3 linked regions of the Callithrix jacchus genome follow. The protein of the gene in region 1 purifies or fractionates together with the protein of each later gene. This does not show direct contact. Links are inferred from orthologs where the notes say so. Each region holds a gene or a part of one and is shown on either strand. Other genes may lie near its edges.

Region 1 (4,121 bases):
CGTCCATAGTAAGGACTGACGAGGCAGCAGCCCAGGCTCAGTGCGCAGGATGGCCTGCCCCAATGCGAGGAGCCCTGCAGGTTGGAAATGTGGCTCCCGCTGAAGTCTCAGGCTGAGCCTGTCCCAAGCATCTCAGCAGTGGGAGGGGTATCCACCTGAGTACCCAGTACTGAGTACTGAGGCCTCAGCTATGCTGAGCGGTCCCTGCAGCCCCTGCTGCTGGGTACTCCTTCCTACCACCCATGGTGGGCTCAGCAGGGTCACAAAAAAGGTGGCCCAGCCCCTGCCTTCCTCCCTGGCACCTTGCCCCAGGGCAGCCCAGATCTCCCACAGGCCTAAGTCTCCCCGGGGAGGTGGGGGGGAGCTAGTGCTGGGTCCTGGCCTGCAGGAGCGGCCACAGGGTCAGCATGTGGCCCACGTCCCAGTGGGGTTCTGGCAGCCGGGTCCTGCCCGGCATCACCTGACTGCCAGTCTCAGGGCCCCAGTGCTCTGAAAGGTCAAATTGCACCCAGGCCCATGGATGGGCATCATGAGGGGACCCCACCTCCCAGGACATCAGGTGACCAGGGTGCCCAGCAGCACCTCCCATCCCAACAGACACAGCAACCGTGGTACTGGAGCTACAAGAGCCCAGGAGGCAAAATCCTGTGCCGCCGGGGCCCCTACACGCTGTGCCCTCCCAGGCCCCCCTGCACACTTCGCCCTCCCAGGAGTAGCTCCTGAGCTGAGCCTAGGGGTTTGCTGAGGGGCCCCGGGATGCTGTAGGACCTAATGGGCTCTCTGCAGGGTAAGGATCTCTACGTGGGAAGGCAGACACCGGGGCTCACTGAAGGAGGTGAGTGAGCTCCTGTGCACTGGGTCCTCACATCCTAACCTTCCTGGCACACTCGCCTTCTCAGGCCGGACCCTGCCCACCACTTCCTGCTGCAATAGTAAAAGATAAAGCCCCCCACACTCCAGCCCAGGCACAGCAACATCCACCTGCAGATACATGCAAAGCGCTTTATGATCCAGCCCAGCCCTGCACAGCACAGAGCTGAGCCGGGAGCCTGGCAGGGAGGGGCCGGCTGCCAGTGCAGCCGCCCGTGCTAAGGCCCTGAGCTCCTCCTCGGGCACGACTGCAGCGCCGGCCTCGAGGTATCCTCTCCTGAAAGGTCTGAGCCCTCGCTCTTCTGCAAGCCGCACTCCGCTCTAAGCCCTGCCTCAGGCGCCTCCTCGCCACCTGGGGAAGAAGGGTGGCCAGCGTCAGGCCCAGCGGGAGGGAGGGCCACTGGACCCTCTCTTGTGCCAGCTGAGGGGCCACCCTGCACCCTGACTCTGACCCACCCTCCCCCGACCACAGGCCTCCCCCGCCTGCTCCTGCTGGAACTCAGGCCGAGGCCGATGGGCGGTGCCTGGCTGGGCAGCACCAGGGGAGGAGCCTGAGGAACCCTCCCGGCCAGATAGGCCTTGGCCGGTGCCCCTGCCACCCCCACACTTTCAGCCATGTCACAGCAGCCCAGGGCGGAGGCGGCCTGCAGGTGGGCTGGAGGCTTTGGGGACATGGATTGGCCACCAGAGGGCAGAAGCTGCCCTCACCACAGACAGGCAGGCGCCCTGCTCCAGCGGGACTCACCGGGCACCGTGAGGTCCTGAGTGTAGATGATGTCGTCCTCGATATCGAAGAGGTCCTCGTCCTCGTCGGCACCGTGCAGGTCTTCCAGGTAGGGCACCACAGTCATGCTGCGCCACCGGTCCTTGGTGTCCGGGCTTGGCGGGATGGGCACCGGTGCTTCAGCTGGTGGGTGTTTCTTCCGGAACCAGCTGCAAATGCCCAGAAGCAGTGGCACCTATCAGGCCGGCACAGGGCAGTCCAGCTGCCCAACCCCGCTCCTCGGAGCTGGGACCAGGCAATGCGAGGGGTGGCCGTGACCACAGCAGCTCAGCTATGCCCTCCTGGAGCAGCCAGGCTGCCAGGGCCCTACAGCTCTGACCTCACTCCAAACCTGACACGTCTCCTCCACCCCAAGGCCTGACCCCCATGCCCCGTTTCAGCCTCAGATCTGTCTCCCAGGTGGCATTCAGAAGCCAGGGCACCCCCCAGATGCAGGTCAGCAAAGGCCAGAAGGGAGGCCACGTGCACATCCAGCCCAGGAGGCTATCGGAGGGCAGCCCCAGCCCCCACCAGGCTCCCAGCTGCCCCAAGCTGCCCAAAGATGCCCCAGGCACAATCAGCACCAGCGCCTCAGGGGTCCAAACACTCCCACTCAGGCCTTGTTGGACAGCTGAGGAACTCTGAGGGCTTTAGCAGAAGGTTCAAGGACCCCCCGCCCAGGGGCTGGCCCAGGAGGTGAGGGAGGTGGCACTGCAGGGCCTGCTGACCCCACCCACTGCCTTGTCTTCCCTGTGGTGGAGCTGGGGGCCCTGGGCTGGATCCCAGTGAGGAAGGAAAAGGAAGACCCTCCAAGTGCCCGGGCCAGCCGTGCCTTTCCTGGCCCAATGCCAGGCCTGGAGCAGGGATGGACACATGACCTCACTCAGACCCCAGCACAGACAAAGCCTGTCTGGCCAGCAAGGGGGCGCTGCCCAGAGACCCCCCTCAGGCCCCGAGAATTGTGAGCACTGTACGTGATCCTGCCCTAGACCCAGACCGGCACTCCCACCACATCCCCCACCACGCCCCCTGCTCCGGCCCCCACTCAAGCAGCTGCCCCCATGGCCGGCTTCCCTGTGGCCTTGGCCCCACTCACCTGTGCTGCCGGATCTGCCGTATGGAGAACCTCTTGGCCGGCTCATACTCAAGCATCCCTGAGGAGAGGCAGGTGAGGAGCCGGGCAGCGCCAGGCACAGGACTGAGACCCCACCAACCTTCCCCACCTGCCCAGCCTCTGCTGTCAAGCCCTGGGTGACGCCTGGATGCTCCCAAGGGCGGCCTCCCTGACAGAGGCCACTCCAGGGGACATCACTGCATGGTGGATGGGCGACCAGTGCCACCTGCTGCCACTCGCAGATGTGCAGCAGCGTGAGCCTGGCAGACCCTGCAGGCCAGGGAGCTCAGAGGCCCGGGCGGGGGGGGGGAAGAGCAGGGCAGCGCTACCTTCAAGGGTGGGAGTACAAAGGGGGAACACAAGGCCCAGAAGAAAGGGTGGAGTTGAGTAATGGCGGCGGCGGGGAGGGCCGGGGAGGACCTTTGGGGAGGCCGCCCTCTCCAGTCAGTCCTCTCAATGCCCTGCTAGGGTCCCTAGGGCCAGCAGCCACCCACCTGACACCCCCAGCCTGCATTTCTGCACAAAACCCCCTCCTCCCTGTGGAGGGGCTGTGGGCACAGGGATGAGGCTCCCACCTTTCAGCAGGTCGGAGAGCGGGGGGCCACAGTCGCCTGGGATCGCGTAGCTCCCCTTCCCAATGTTCTCGAACAGCTTATAGATGTTGTCCCCCTCGAAGGGGTACAGGCCCGTGGTGATGTTGTAGCTTCATTTCAAGGAGAAGGAAGGGGGCGTGGTCAGCCACGGTGGTCGATGCCCTGGGAGTCCCAGCTCTGCAGCCCTCGTGTGGCCGCTGGAGCGCAGGCCGTGCGAGCTCAGGGACACCTCTGTCGTCACCCCCTCCCACTAGCAGAGGCCGCGGGGCAGGAGGGGGGTGTCCTCTGGACCCACCTGGGGTAGGGGCTTGGAGCCAATCTCACCCACCTGGCTTCCCTGTGGGGCTCTGGGAGTGAGGGTGGGCTGTGCCACTGTGAAGACACCCGACATGCCAGGCCGCACCTCCCACGGTGAAATACCATGTGCTCTGGGAGTCACACCTCAGGTAAGCACCCCCCAGCGGCTGTGGCCAGCAAGGGACTGGGCTGATGGCCATGCCCTGTGCCTACCCAAGACACAGAGGCCCCTCCAAGCTGTGTGTATGGTGAGTGCTGGGACAGCCGGGGCACTTACAGGGTGACCCCAGCTGACCAGATGTCCACCTTGAAGCCTGAGAAGGTGTCCAGGCCGTTGGCAATCTCGGGGGGCTGGAACGCTGGGGAGCCCTGGCTTGTCCGGCAGGTGTCATCTGCCGCAAACGGGTGCAGTGCCTGTGGAGATGCCGCGCAGCCCTCAGAGAGTGCCGGGACGGGGCGCCCCAGGGCCCCCCAGCGCGTGCCT
Region 2 (4,885 bases), on another chromosome or scaffold:
AATTTATATCCTTGGCAGTTGGGAGGGGAACAGGCCATAAAAAAGCAAACAGAAAAAATAAGTAAGGAAATTTCAGATCACGATATGTACAAAGAAGAAAATGAAACAGGGATGCAATTGAGTGTGATGGGGGTCTGTTGGGTAGTCAGGGAAGGCTGCTCGGAGGAAGGTTATGTTTGAGCTAAGACCTGGAGGACGAGAATAAACCAGTCACGTGAACATCTGGAAGCTGAGGGTTTCAGGCACAGGAAACAGCACAGCACATGCAAAGGCCTCAAGGCATGAAGGAGCTTTGTGTTTTCTAGGTTTAGAAAAAAGGCTGGGTTCAAATACACTACTCTCCAGTAATCCTCGGCAAGGATTATTGTACCCATTTTTTAGAGATGGAAATTGAGACTTGTCAGGATGGTTAGTTTCTTGGTCAAAATCACAACTGGGAGTACAAATTTTGAATGTAAAGCCACTATTTTGGGGTTATTTTGGTGTTTGTATGTATATATACGTGTGTTTTTTTAAACAAAATCATCAAGTTCAGCAACCATGTGTCCTAAATTATCTAGGATGGTCAAATTTCTTTTTACTTTTTTTTTGAGACCAAGTCTCGCTCTGTCACCGAGGCCGGAGTGCAATGGTGCGATCTCAGCTCACTGCTTCCTCCTACGCCTCCTGGGTTTAAGCGATTCTCCTGTCACAGCCTCCCGAGTAGTTGGGATTACAGGCACCTACCACCACGCCCAGCTAATTTTTGTATTTTTAGTAGGGACAGGGTTTTGCCATGTTAGTCAAGCTGGTCTCCAACTCCTGACCTCAGGGGAATCTGCCCACCTCAGCCTCCCAAAGTGCTGGGATTACAGGCATGAGCCACCGTGCCTGGCCCAGATATCAAATTTCTAAAATTCTTTTTTTTTTTTTTTTCTGTTTTTGATAGAGTCTTGCTCTGTTGCCCAGGCTAGAGTACAGTGGCATGATTTCGGCTCACTGCAACCTCCACCTTCTGGGTTCAAGCAATTTTCCTGCCTCAGCCTCCCAAGTAGCTGAGAGTACAGGTGCCTGCCACCACACCTGGCTAATTTTTGTATTTTTAGTAGAGACAGGGTTTCAACATGTTGGCTATGCTGGTCTCGAACTCCTGACCTCAGGTGATCCACCCGCCTCGGCCTCCCAAAGTGCTGGGATTACAGGAAGGAGCCAGCATGCCTGGCCCTAAAATTCTTATTGTCTCCTGGACAGTCATCTTGGACATGCTCTGTGTTCTATATCATGACTTCAAGCCTTGTCTTTGTCAGGTACTGCCAGTGAGATCCTAGACTAGCACTTCACCACTTTAAGCCTCAGTTTCCTCCTTTATAAATAGGGAGGAATTGTAATCATTCCACTATCACAGGTTTGCTGGGAGGATTAAATGAGAACATCCACATCAGAGTCAGCACAGTGCCTGGAACGGGGTACCTGTGAAATGAATGGTGATTCTTCTTTATTGTTACCTTGGAAAATGGAGGCCAACTGCAGGATGATCCTGGCTCCAAGGAGCCGGGGACCCAAGACAAGCATACAGAAAGAGAGACCAACAATTGGAGGCCTCTGATGCATAAGACAGGCAGGGGAGTGGTGGGAGGAGAGAGCAAGACTGAGCAGCCAGGAGGGCCTCTTCCCTTCCCTTTACTCAGCCTCTCACTCCTCTGCTAGGATCCCATATTGACACATCTTGTACTTCCCGTTTCCAGGGAAATTCCTCGCTGCCGGACTGCACCCACCCCTGAGGACCTCCCAATATCTTTGGGCAGAGCAGAAGCCAGACAGAGACAAGGACTACCAAGCAACCATCTCCAGCCCCGTGTGTGCAAGGAGCCCTGAGGGGCAGGCGGCCACGCTGCAGAAGACTAGCCTCTCCAACCCCAGGGAGCCTGGCGTGGGCTGCAGGAACAGAACGCTTCTCAGAGGAGGTAGGGACCCCATGGAGTACGTGACGTGACGCCTGGCCCTCCAGCTGCATGCTCCAGTTAGCAGGACAGAGACCCCTCCCCACACATTCCCAGCCTTCCCTGGTTTCCTGCTCTGCTACTGGGAGGCCCTGTCACCACACATGCGCGTGCATGCGCTAACACATACACCCCTCCCAGGCACCCCCGGAAGACCAGCTGCAGCTGGGGGTGGGGGGGGGTGCACTGAGCACAGCCAGGGTTCTCAGATCCCTAGCCTGCTCTCCCACCCCACCCTAGCCCCCAATTGCCGAGCTGCTTCTAGGTTTAAAGCAAAACACGACTCTGTCCTTCCTGCTGCTCAGTGGCAGCAACACTGCCTGGAGTTATTTTTAGCAGGGATGCAGGGAAGGCACAGTTCTCCTTGACTTTAACTAGGGACAACCCCCACCCCCCAGCCAAGACTCACTGGAGGAGGCCAGTACGGAAACTCCCCTCCCAGAAAGGGGAAATGGTGTGTTTTCTGTTCCTTCAATTCACTAGAATGGGAATCGTGGTCAAGCCTGGTGTTGAACTGATGGGAAATTCTAGGTTCCAAAGCCCATGGGCTCTGCCCCATCCTTGGCCTCTATGTTTCCATGAATCCGGGAAGCGAGAGGCACATGGTGTCTGGAGTTGAGGTGCCCTGTCTGTGGGTGCTGGGGTCCCTGGGAAACTGCTTGGTTATATCCAAGCTCTGTGGATTACACAGGGGCACCAGGTATCGTGGGTGGTGTTTCACAGGCGCTGGCTAAATAATTCATTAAACTGAACATGTATGTTTCATGTACTTTTCCATATGTGTATCTTTTAGATGCTAGCAGTACTTTATGAGGTATAATCAACATACATTCCACATACAGTAAAATGCATAAATCTTAAGTGTACAGCTTGATGAATTTTGACAAATATATATGCCTATGTAACCATCACCTAGATCAAGATTTCAGACATTTTCACTACCTCCAAATGCCTTTGTGTCCCCTTCCAGTCAGTCTCCGCCCCAGAGGCAACTGATTCCGACTTCTACCACCATAGATCGTGTGTGTGTTTCACAAAGTTAAAGAAATACAGCTGCTGTCACGGAAGAGGGAAATGAGCAATAAAGTTCTTAACATGAAAGGAGGGGGCCTCAAAAAAAGGGGTTATTGCAACTGGAAAAATGAAGGTATCATTGGCCTGGGAAACAGGAGGTTTCAGAGCCAGCCCAACCCCTCAGGGTTGGGACCAGAAGGCTTGGGACACTTCTTGAAGCAGAGAAGCTGTGAGTGGGGAGGGAGCAAGGGGAGGGCCAGTCTTGGCTCAGGCCTAGCTGCCTCTGGGTCTGCTAGAGGTCCCTGCCCCTCCTCCAGGCCCTGACCACTGCACAGTTTCAGCAAGGCCAAGGCTGCAAGGAAAGGTTCTCTCAGGGGCATCCACCCAGAGGCAGAGTTTAGGGCCCCCATGTAGTTAAGTTATTTGTTTTCCTTGACTTCCTTTTCAAGGTCTGGGACTCCTGCATCCTTTGTCCTGCCTGGGGCGGGGAGAGGCTGAGGCTGTCAAAGCAGAGTGCTAAGGAAGAGTCATGATGCTTTTCATTCTTTCCTTCCTTTCTTCATTCAAAAACAGTTATTTGAGCACCCGTGTAGTGCTATAGATTCTGCCGGGTGCTGGGCATAGGAGAATAAGCCACATTTTAGCTTAGAGAGTCAGAGTTGGCATTTCTAGGTAGAAGCAAGGCCTTATACCTCCTTCATATTGGAGATGAGGGGCCCAGAGAGGGGAAGTGACTTATTAGAATCACACAGCTAGCTGCTGGCAGAGGAAGGCCAAGAACAAGGATCGATCCCTGATTGAGACTTAGCTGGGGATAAGAAAGCAAAGGAAACCAAACCAACAGCTGACTCCCTGGTGTGCTCTCCTGTAAGCTTTCTAGGGTAACAAAAAGCACTGACCTGGAGTGAGAGGACCTCAAGGCTACTGCTAGGTCTTAGAAACACTTCCTCTCTCTGGGCCTCAGCTTTATTCCATGAACATGCAGGAGGCAGCTTCTGGAGCACACCCTCCATTTTCCCGCCTCTGTGCCTTTGCTCGGGTTGTTTCTGCCGCCTAGAATGCCCCCTTTCCCCTCCTACTTCCTTCCTCTGACATTCTCCTAATCATTTATGACCTAATTCAAATGCTGTCCCCAGAGGCCCCGCAGTCCTTGGGCATCTGGAGAGTGGTGTCACCCAGGTCCCCACTACCAGAACAGACAGAGCCTCCTCCATTTTGCAATCCTCCCATCCTAGGGCACAGCTTTCCTTGGATATGGGGTCTGTTTTGTCAGCCACTGTTGGAGGAATTGAAGGGATTTCTTAGTCCCACCCTACACTTCCACATGCCCCCTTAGCTTTCAGAGACTGATGTCGTCCTTCCACTGGGCCTTGAAGACATTGTGCTTTCTGCTGGCCATGCCAGCCCAGGCCAGAGCATCAAACCTGGGCACTTCTGGCCAAGGTGGCTGCCCTGGGAGGTGACCCCAGGAAGGATGAGAAGGCGGGGCCTCAGCCAGAAGCATGGCTGCCCCACCTCAGTCATCCAGTCATCATTCACAAACACCCCGGCAGAAATCCTCCCTCACAACAGACACGTGGCTCCTGCTCCCACAACCATATCCAAACCCACTCCTACCTACCTGCCCACAGCAGCAAGTTTGCAAAGATGTACCCCACTGCTCCCACAGCTCCCCTGCCCCTCCCCTGGGTGGGCATTGCCATGAGTGCACATTCATCTCACATACACACAGGGCACACACAGACATGCGTAATGGGCAACACAGATGTGGACACATGAGGGCATACACACAGATGCATACATGCACATGAGCACACGTGCACACAGAGCACACACAGAGACATGAATGCATGGCACACAGGCACACACACTCACATGCTTCCTCGTGACGG
Region 3 (4,807 bases), on another chromosome or scaffold:
TTCACAGTCTCTTAAAATCACCATAGATTTCCTTTCCATCTAGCCAAGGTCTTGAAAATTCCCTGAATGTTGCTGCATTTGGAAGGCTATAACAGTAAGACAACTTGTATTATAAAGTATTCCACGAATCCTTTATACGAGGTGCACACTGTGCACCTCGTAGACTGAAAATACAGTAGAATCTTGAGTTAGAAAACCTGGAAATCATCCGAACAGCCCTAGTTCACAGGTGCGAACACTGATGCAAAAACCTGACCTTAACATGCCCAAGGTCAACAATTAGACTTTAAGAAAGATTTAAAGCGCCGATCCAATGAGCGTTTTACCACAGTATGTGGAAGGGGCTCATAAACAACACCATGTTCAGACTGTTGACGCATTTATTACCCGATTATACTAAAAACTTTGGTGCACAGAAGGTCATATAAAACATTTATCTAATATCAGACATTGTCACCTAAAATGAAATCAAACCAGAAATACATGGCATCTAAGTGTTTAGATTTCATGTTTATATTACACATCCATTCTTTTTTCAAAAATAACATAGTAAATGGACATTTTGAAAAACAAGGCTGCGAAAGAGACCTTTCTTATGTCAACTCAGAGTCCTCAAAATAAAGATATTTGGACAAAAATATTACAGGTGTTTTAGCAATCCTTCCCAAAGTAGATTACACTGTATGTACCCAATGTATCTGTTGAATGAATAACATGCTCACATTGATATACATGAAATGGAAACTCCACTCCTCTGGTTGTGGATACTTAAAACTGCAAACTTTTCTTCAGAGCAAAAGAAAGTAACCCCAAATATACTATTTACAAGTCATACACTATGAAACAAGTAGTTTCAAAATATTTCCATTTAGCAAGAAACTCTAAAACAAATGTAGCAATTCATCACTATAAGGTGGCAACGTAAGTGGTTACAATAAAACATGAAGGATTACAAGATTTTCTAAGGCAAACCGGAATTCAGACGAGTTCCCAGAAAGCACACTCTTTTTAGGCAGCATATTGTTGACACTATCTTACTAAATTAAACCCCGAGACAGAAACACTCTCCATACCAAAACACCAGAACTCCAAAGGAGATAAAGGCACCATAAATGAGTAAGCACTACAGTATTCGTCCTTTTTTAAAAAAAATTAGTAAGTTTCTATTCTAGTAATAAGGGACCAAAAACTAATAACACAAATAATAAAAGAGCTTACCAAAATTATATGTAACTGCATTGTAAACTTATCACATAGGAAAAACAGCGTTTCATTTTCTGTAATAAAACTTGGGAGAGGAGTTTTTGGTGCCGTAATGCATGCTCTTCTAAGAACCTGCACTCCCAAACAGCTAAAGAAGTTGTCGGGAAGTTAAAATAAACTTCAATCAGTCATTAAGCTGGATAAAAATAATCATTTCTCAACTTTTTCAAAAACACTCCATGCAAACACGATCGATCCTGATACTGTTTCGCCCTTCCCCCTGCTCGACTTGGGGAAGAAAAAACGATGCTTTTGAGGCATTTTAAACAACCTCACTACGTTGAAAGTGTGTTCTTTTTTAAAAAAAAACCAACAAGGTTTTCTGTCATTTCCATTACGCTGAAAAGGACATACAGACAGTCACCGAAATCAAAAGCAGGGGAAGCGGACTTACTTTTCCCAGATGCTAAGTGACTGCAGTGGCTAAGGTCATGGTCAAAATTCACAGGCTCATTTAAACTTTCCTGGCTGAGCCAACAGCTCCGATCATGTTTCCAGATCCTATCTAACTGGATTAAAACTGCAGGAGTTTCTCGCTGTCAGATCAGCAGGAGGCTATTTCAGACCCTCGAACCGCAGTCCGCATAGCCCGCAGCAGCGCATCCTCCAACCCCCGACTGTGAGTGACGCTAACCTTTCCACGCGTTCTCCTCCAGCATTTCCCGTCCCCCCACCACAGCGGGTGCGGCCAACTCGGGACCCCCTCCGCCCGCGCCCGCCGGGACCCCTGCCTGCCGTCTCCACCCCGGCCACCCTTCCGCAGTCGGTGACTTCTGCCCGGCTCCCCAAAGTGGGGGTAGGCGACGAGGGGAGGAAGACTCCCCGCCAAGGGCTCTCCACCCCGCACAGCGGCAGGGCGATGCGGGAGAGGCGCAGGGATGTCGCCCGACGCCAGAGCCATATTTACATCTGCTGCTGCTTTGCCAAAAAGCCGAATTATGCCCAATAATATTGCCTTTAAAGGAAAAGGAAAGGACCTAAGCAGTAAAGCTGCTGCCCCAAATCTGCTCGCTCTCCAGTATCCTCGCCCCAGTGCCCCCGTGGGAGGCTCGTCCGCGCCCAGCCCGGGACAGGTACACCCGCCAGCCGGCGGAGGACGCGGGCGCCACGCCGCCCCCACATTGGGCAGCGGTCGCCGAGACTCGGCCCCCAGCAGCCCCCGCCGGGGCTGACAGCCGAAGCGGTGCCGTGCCCCGCACAAACTTACCACTTTCCAGGCTGCGGGGACAGACCCGTGGGCAGGCGGGCGAACGGGGGGCGGCACGGGCACCAGCACCAGCCGTGAGACTCACATGCACACGGGACCCCAGTCCCGCAGGCGGCTCTAGGTCTAAATCCGGCGCAAATGGTGCCCGGGCGGCCCGGAGGGCTTAGGGGCGCGCGCCGCGGGGCCAGGGGCTCCGAGGCGGGCGAGCAGCCGGAGGGCCAGGGCAGGCTGGGGCTCCCCGCCCCGCAGCCGCTGCAGCCGGAGGAGGAGGGGAGCGAGGAGGAAGAAGAGGAGGAAGGGGACCGCGCGCCGCAGCCGAGCCCTTACCGAGTGGTTTACCCCCCACATCAGGACGCTGAGCAGCGGGTCGCTGGCCCGAAACAGCTTCACTTTCTGCGCTACGAAGTGCTTCTTCTTGGTCTTGGTTTTGCTCGCCAGGACCGAGGACCCTAGGTTGCCGGGGGTCGCCATGGCCTCCTCCTCAGTCCCCTCCACCGCCGCGCTCCCGAGGCCGGGGACCCGCCCTCTCTACACCCCGGCCCGGGAAGGTAGCCGCATCCCCCCGGTGGCGGCCCCGGCGCGCCGTGCTCCGCTCCGCCTGCCGCCGCCGCTGGCGCGCTCGGCCCCGCTCGGCTCGCTCCGCCCGCTCGGCCCGGCAGGCTGCGCTCGGCTCGCGCCCCGGCCCGGATCCCGCGCCCGCCGCGGCTCCGCGCTCAGCCCGCGGCTGGACCCGGCGCACCGCGAGCGGCTTCCGCGTTGGGCGCCGGCGTCATGACGCAGGGGGCGGGAGGGCGGGAGGCGACCGCTGCGCCGCGGGCGGGGCGCCGGGCGCTGGGCGCGGGGCGCGGCCACCGGACCGTTAGGCTGAGCCCTCCCGCCCCGGCTTCGCTGCGGCCGGGCAGTCCCCTGTGCCCGGGCGAGCTCGGGACGTTCGCTCCCGGCCCGCGGAAGAGGCCGCGGGGTGCGCGCGGAGAGCCTGGGGACCCGGCCTGGCGTCCCCTGCGGCTCCCCGAGGAGAGGGGACAGGGTGGGCAGAGCGGGGAGGTTGGGGAGAGGAGTCCCTAGGCGTCGATCAGGCGAAGGAGGGAAGCTCAGGGACCTGTGCTCGCCCACTCCGCGAGTCGGGAGACCCAGCGAGGTGCGAAATGCTGCAGGGAGACCAGGGCTTCCCAGCACCGAGGGGAAGGACCTGGGCACGTTTCTGGTCAGTCCCTGAGATGAACTTAATACCTTTGTGCCGTTCACCATGGGGCCTTTCACACCCTCGATATGGGCCTCCTGGAGTCATTCAAGAGGGAGACTCCCACCTAATAGTGTGGACCCACTCCGTGCCCGGGGCAGGACCCTGGGATCCTCATCTAGAGCCCTTGGCTTAACCAGGAGAATCATGCCCCAAAGTGCATCTTCTACTTGGAATCCATCACCATGGTCCTTGCCATCCCTGCCTGTTTTCCAGCGCATTCACCTTCTTCCATGGAAATCTGTTCACTGTCTTCCTCCAGATACACCTAAATGTAGCCCTTTATTATGATGAGAATACCTGGCTTACTTCAGGAAGCTGCCATTCCAAGTATGTCTAAAACCCTGCTGCCCCCATGTCATCCCGGCAGTCTTCATTCTGTACAATGTATTTACTCTGACCCAGCCCACCAGTCCTCACTGAACAGGTTCTTGGAAACTATCGCCTTAAGCAAAACAACATATCACAAAACCAAATTCGTCATAAGCTAACATTTAAAAAAAGAATTAAGTTCCTACAGCAATTATATCTGGTCACAAAAACATCATCAAACTTCAAAGTAAAGACTCAAAACACTTCTAATATTAAACATTGAAATAAATGTAAGCTATGCCGCCTTTTTAATTTTTTTCCCCCTTGAGATAGGGTATATCGCTTTGTCTCCCAGGCTGCCGGTGCAGTGGTGCAATCACAGTCCGCTGCAGGCTCTACTTCCTCGGGCTCAGGTGATTCTTCCACCTCAGCCTCCCCAGTAGTTGAGACTACAGGCATGAACCTGACCAAGTTCTATTTGGTAGAGATAGGGTTTTACCATGCTGCCCAGGCTAGTCTTGAACTCCCCTGCTCAAGGGATCTGCCCACCTCAGCCTTTCAAAGTGCTGAGAATACAGACGCCAGCCACTGCACCCGGCTCACCTACATTTTTTAAAGATTGATAAAAGCAAGATAATGCGTTGCCAAATTTCTGGTGAATCAGTGAGTAATGGTTACTGTGGTGCTGCGTTAAATCAAGAAATAAGCGTTTGCAAAGCAAAAAGTTGTCAGGAGAACCTGCTGCTACCATGAGATTAAAAAACTATCACAAATATGGTAGCTGA

Evidence for each region. Proteins that work in one complex are often made in the same cells at the same time.
Region 2: the proteins of STK11 (region 1) and FKBP5 purify together in Homo sapiens (affinity purification with mass spectrometry; 8 studies listed by BioGRID and IntAct, counting the BioPlex papers as one, with this or other methods). This does not show direct contact. The link is inferred for Callithrix jacchus from reciprocal best matches to the Homo sapiens genes STK11 and FKBP5.
Region 3: the proteins of STK11 (region 1) and PIP4K2A purify together in Homo sapiens (affinity purification with mass spectrometry; 3 studies listed by BioGRID and IntAct, counting the BioPlex papers as one, with this or other methods). This does not show direct contact. The link is inferred for Callithrix jacchus from reciprocal best matches to the Homo sapiens genes STK11 and PIP4K2A.

Annotation. Positions count from the first base shown.
Region 1 is NC_133523.1:1,148,527-1,152,647, reverse strand, and holds part of STK11 (serine/threonine-protein kinase STK11), read right to left. Parts: intron 4,052-4,121; coding exon 3,915-4,051; intron 3,451-3,914; coding exon 3,323-3,450; intron 2,788-3,322; coding exon 2,730-2,787; intron 1,804-2,729; coding exon 1,616-1,803; intron 1,223-1,615; exon of another isoform or gene 1-1,222. UniProt on the Homo sapiens protein: Tumor suppressor serine/threonine-protein kinase that controls the activity of AMP-activated protein kinase (AMPK) family members, thereby playing a role in various processes such as cell metabolism, cell polarity, apoptosis and DNA damage response.
Region 2 is NC_133505.1:44,021,734-44,026,618, reverse strand, and holds the start of FKBP5 (peptidyl-prolyl cis-trans isomerase FKBP5), read left to right. Parts: upstream 1-1,673; 5' UTR 1,674-1,943; intron 1,944-4,885. UniProt on the Homo sapiens protein: Immunophilin protein with PPIase and co-chaperone activities. Component of unligated steroid receptors heterocomplexes through interaction with heat-shock protein 90 (HSP90).
Region 3 is NC_133508.1:23,217,163-23,221,969, forward strand, and holds the start of PIP4K2A (phosphatidylinositol 5-phosphate 4-kinase type-2 alpha), read right to left. Parts: upstream 3,213-4,807; 5' UTR 2,942-3,212; coding exon 2,798-2,941; exon of another isoform or gene 2,471-2,797; intron 1,889-2,470; exon of another isoform or gene 1,658-1,888; intron 1-1,657. UniProt on the Homo sapiens protein: Catalyzes the phosphorylation of phosphatidylinositol 5-phosphate (PtdIns5P) on the fourth hydroxyl of the myo-inositol ring, to form phosphatidylinositol 4,5-bisphosphate (PtdIns(4,5)P2). Has both ATP- and GTP-dependent kinase activities.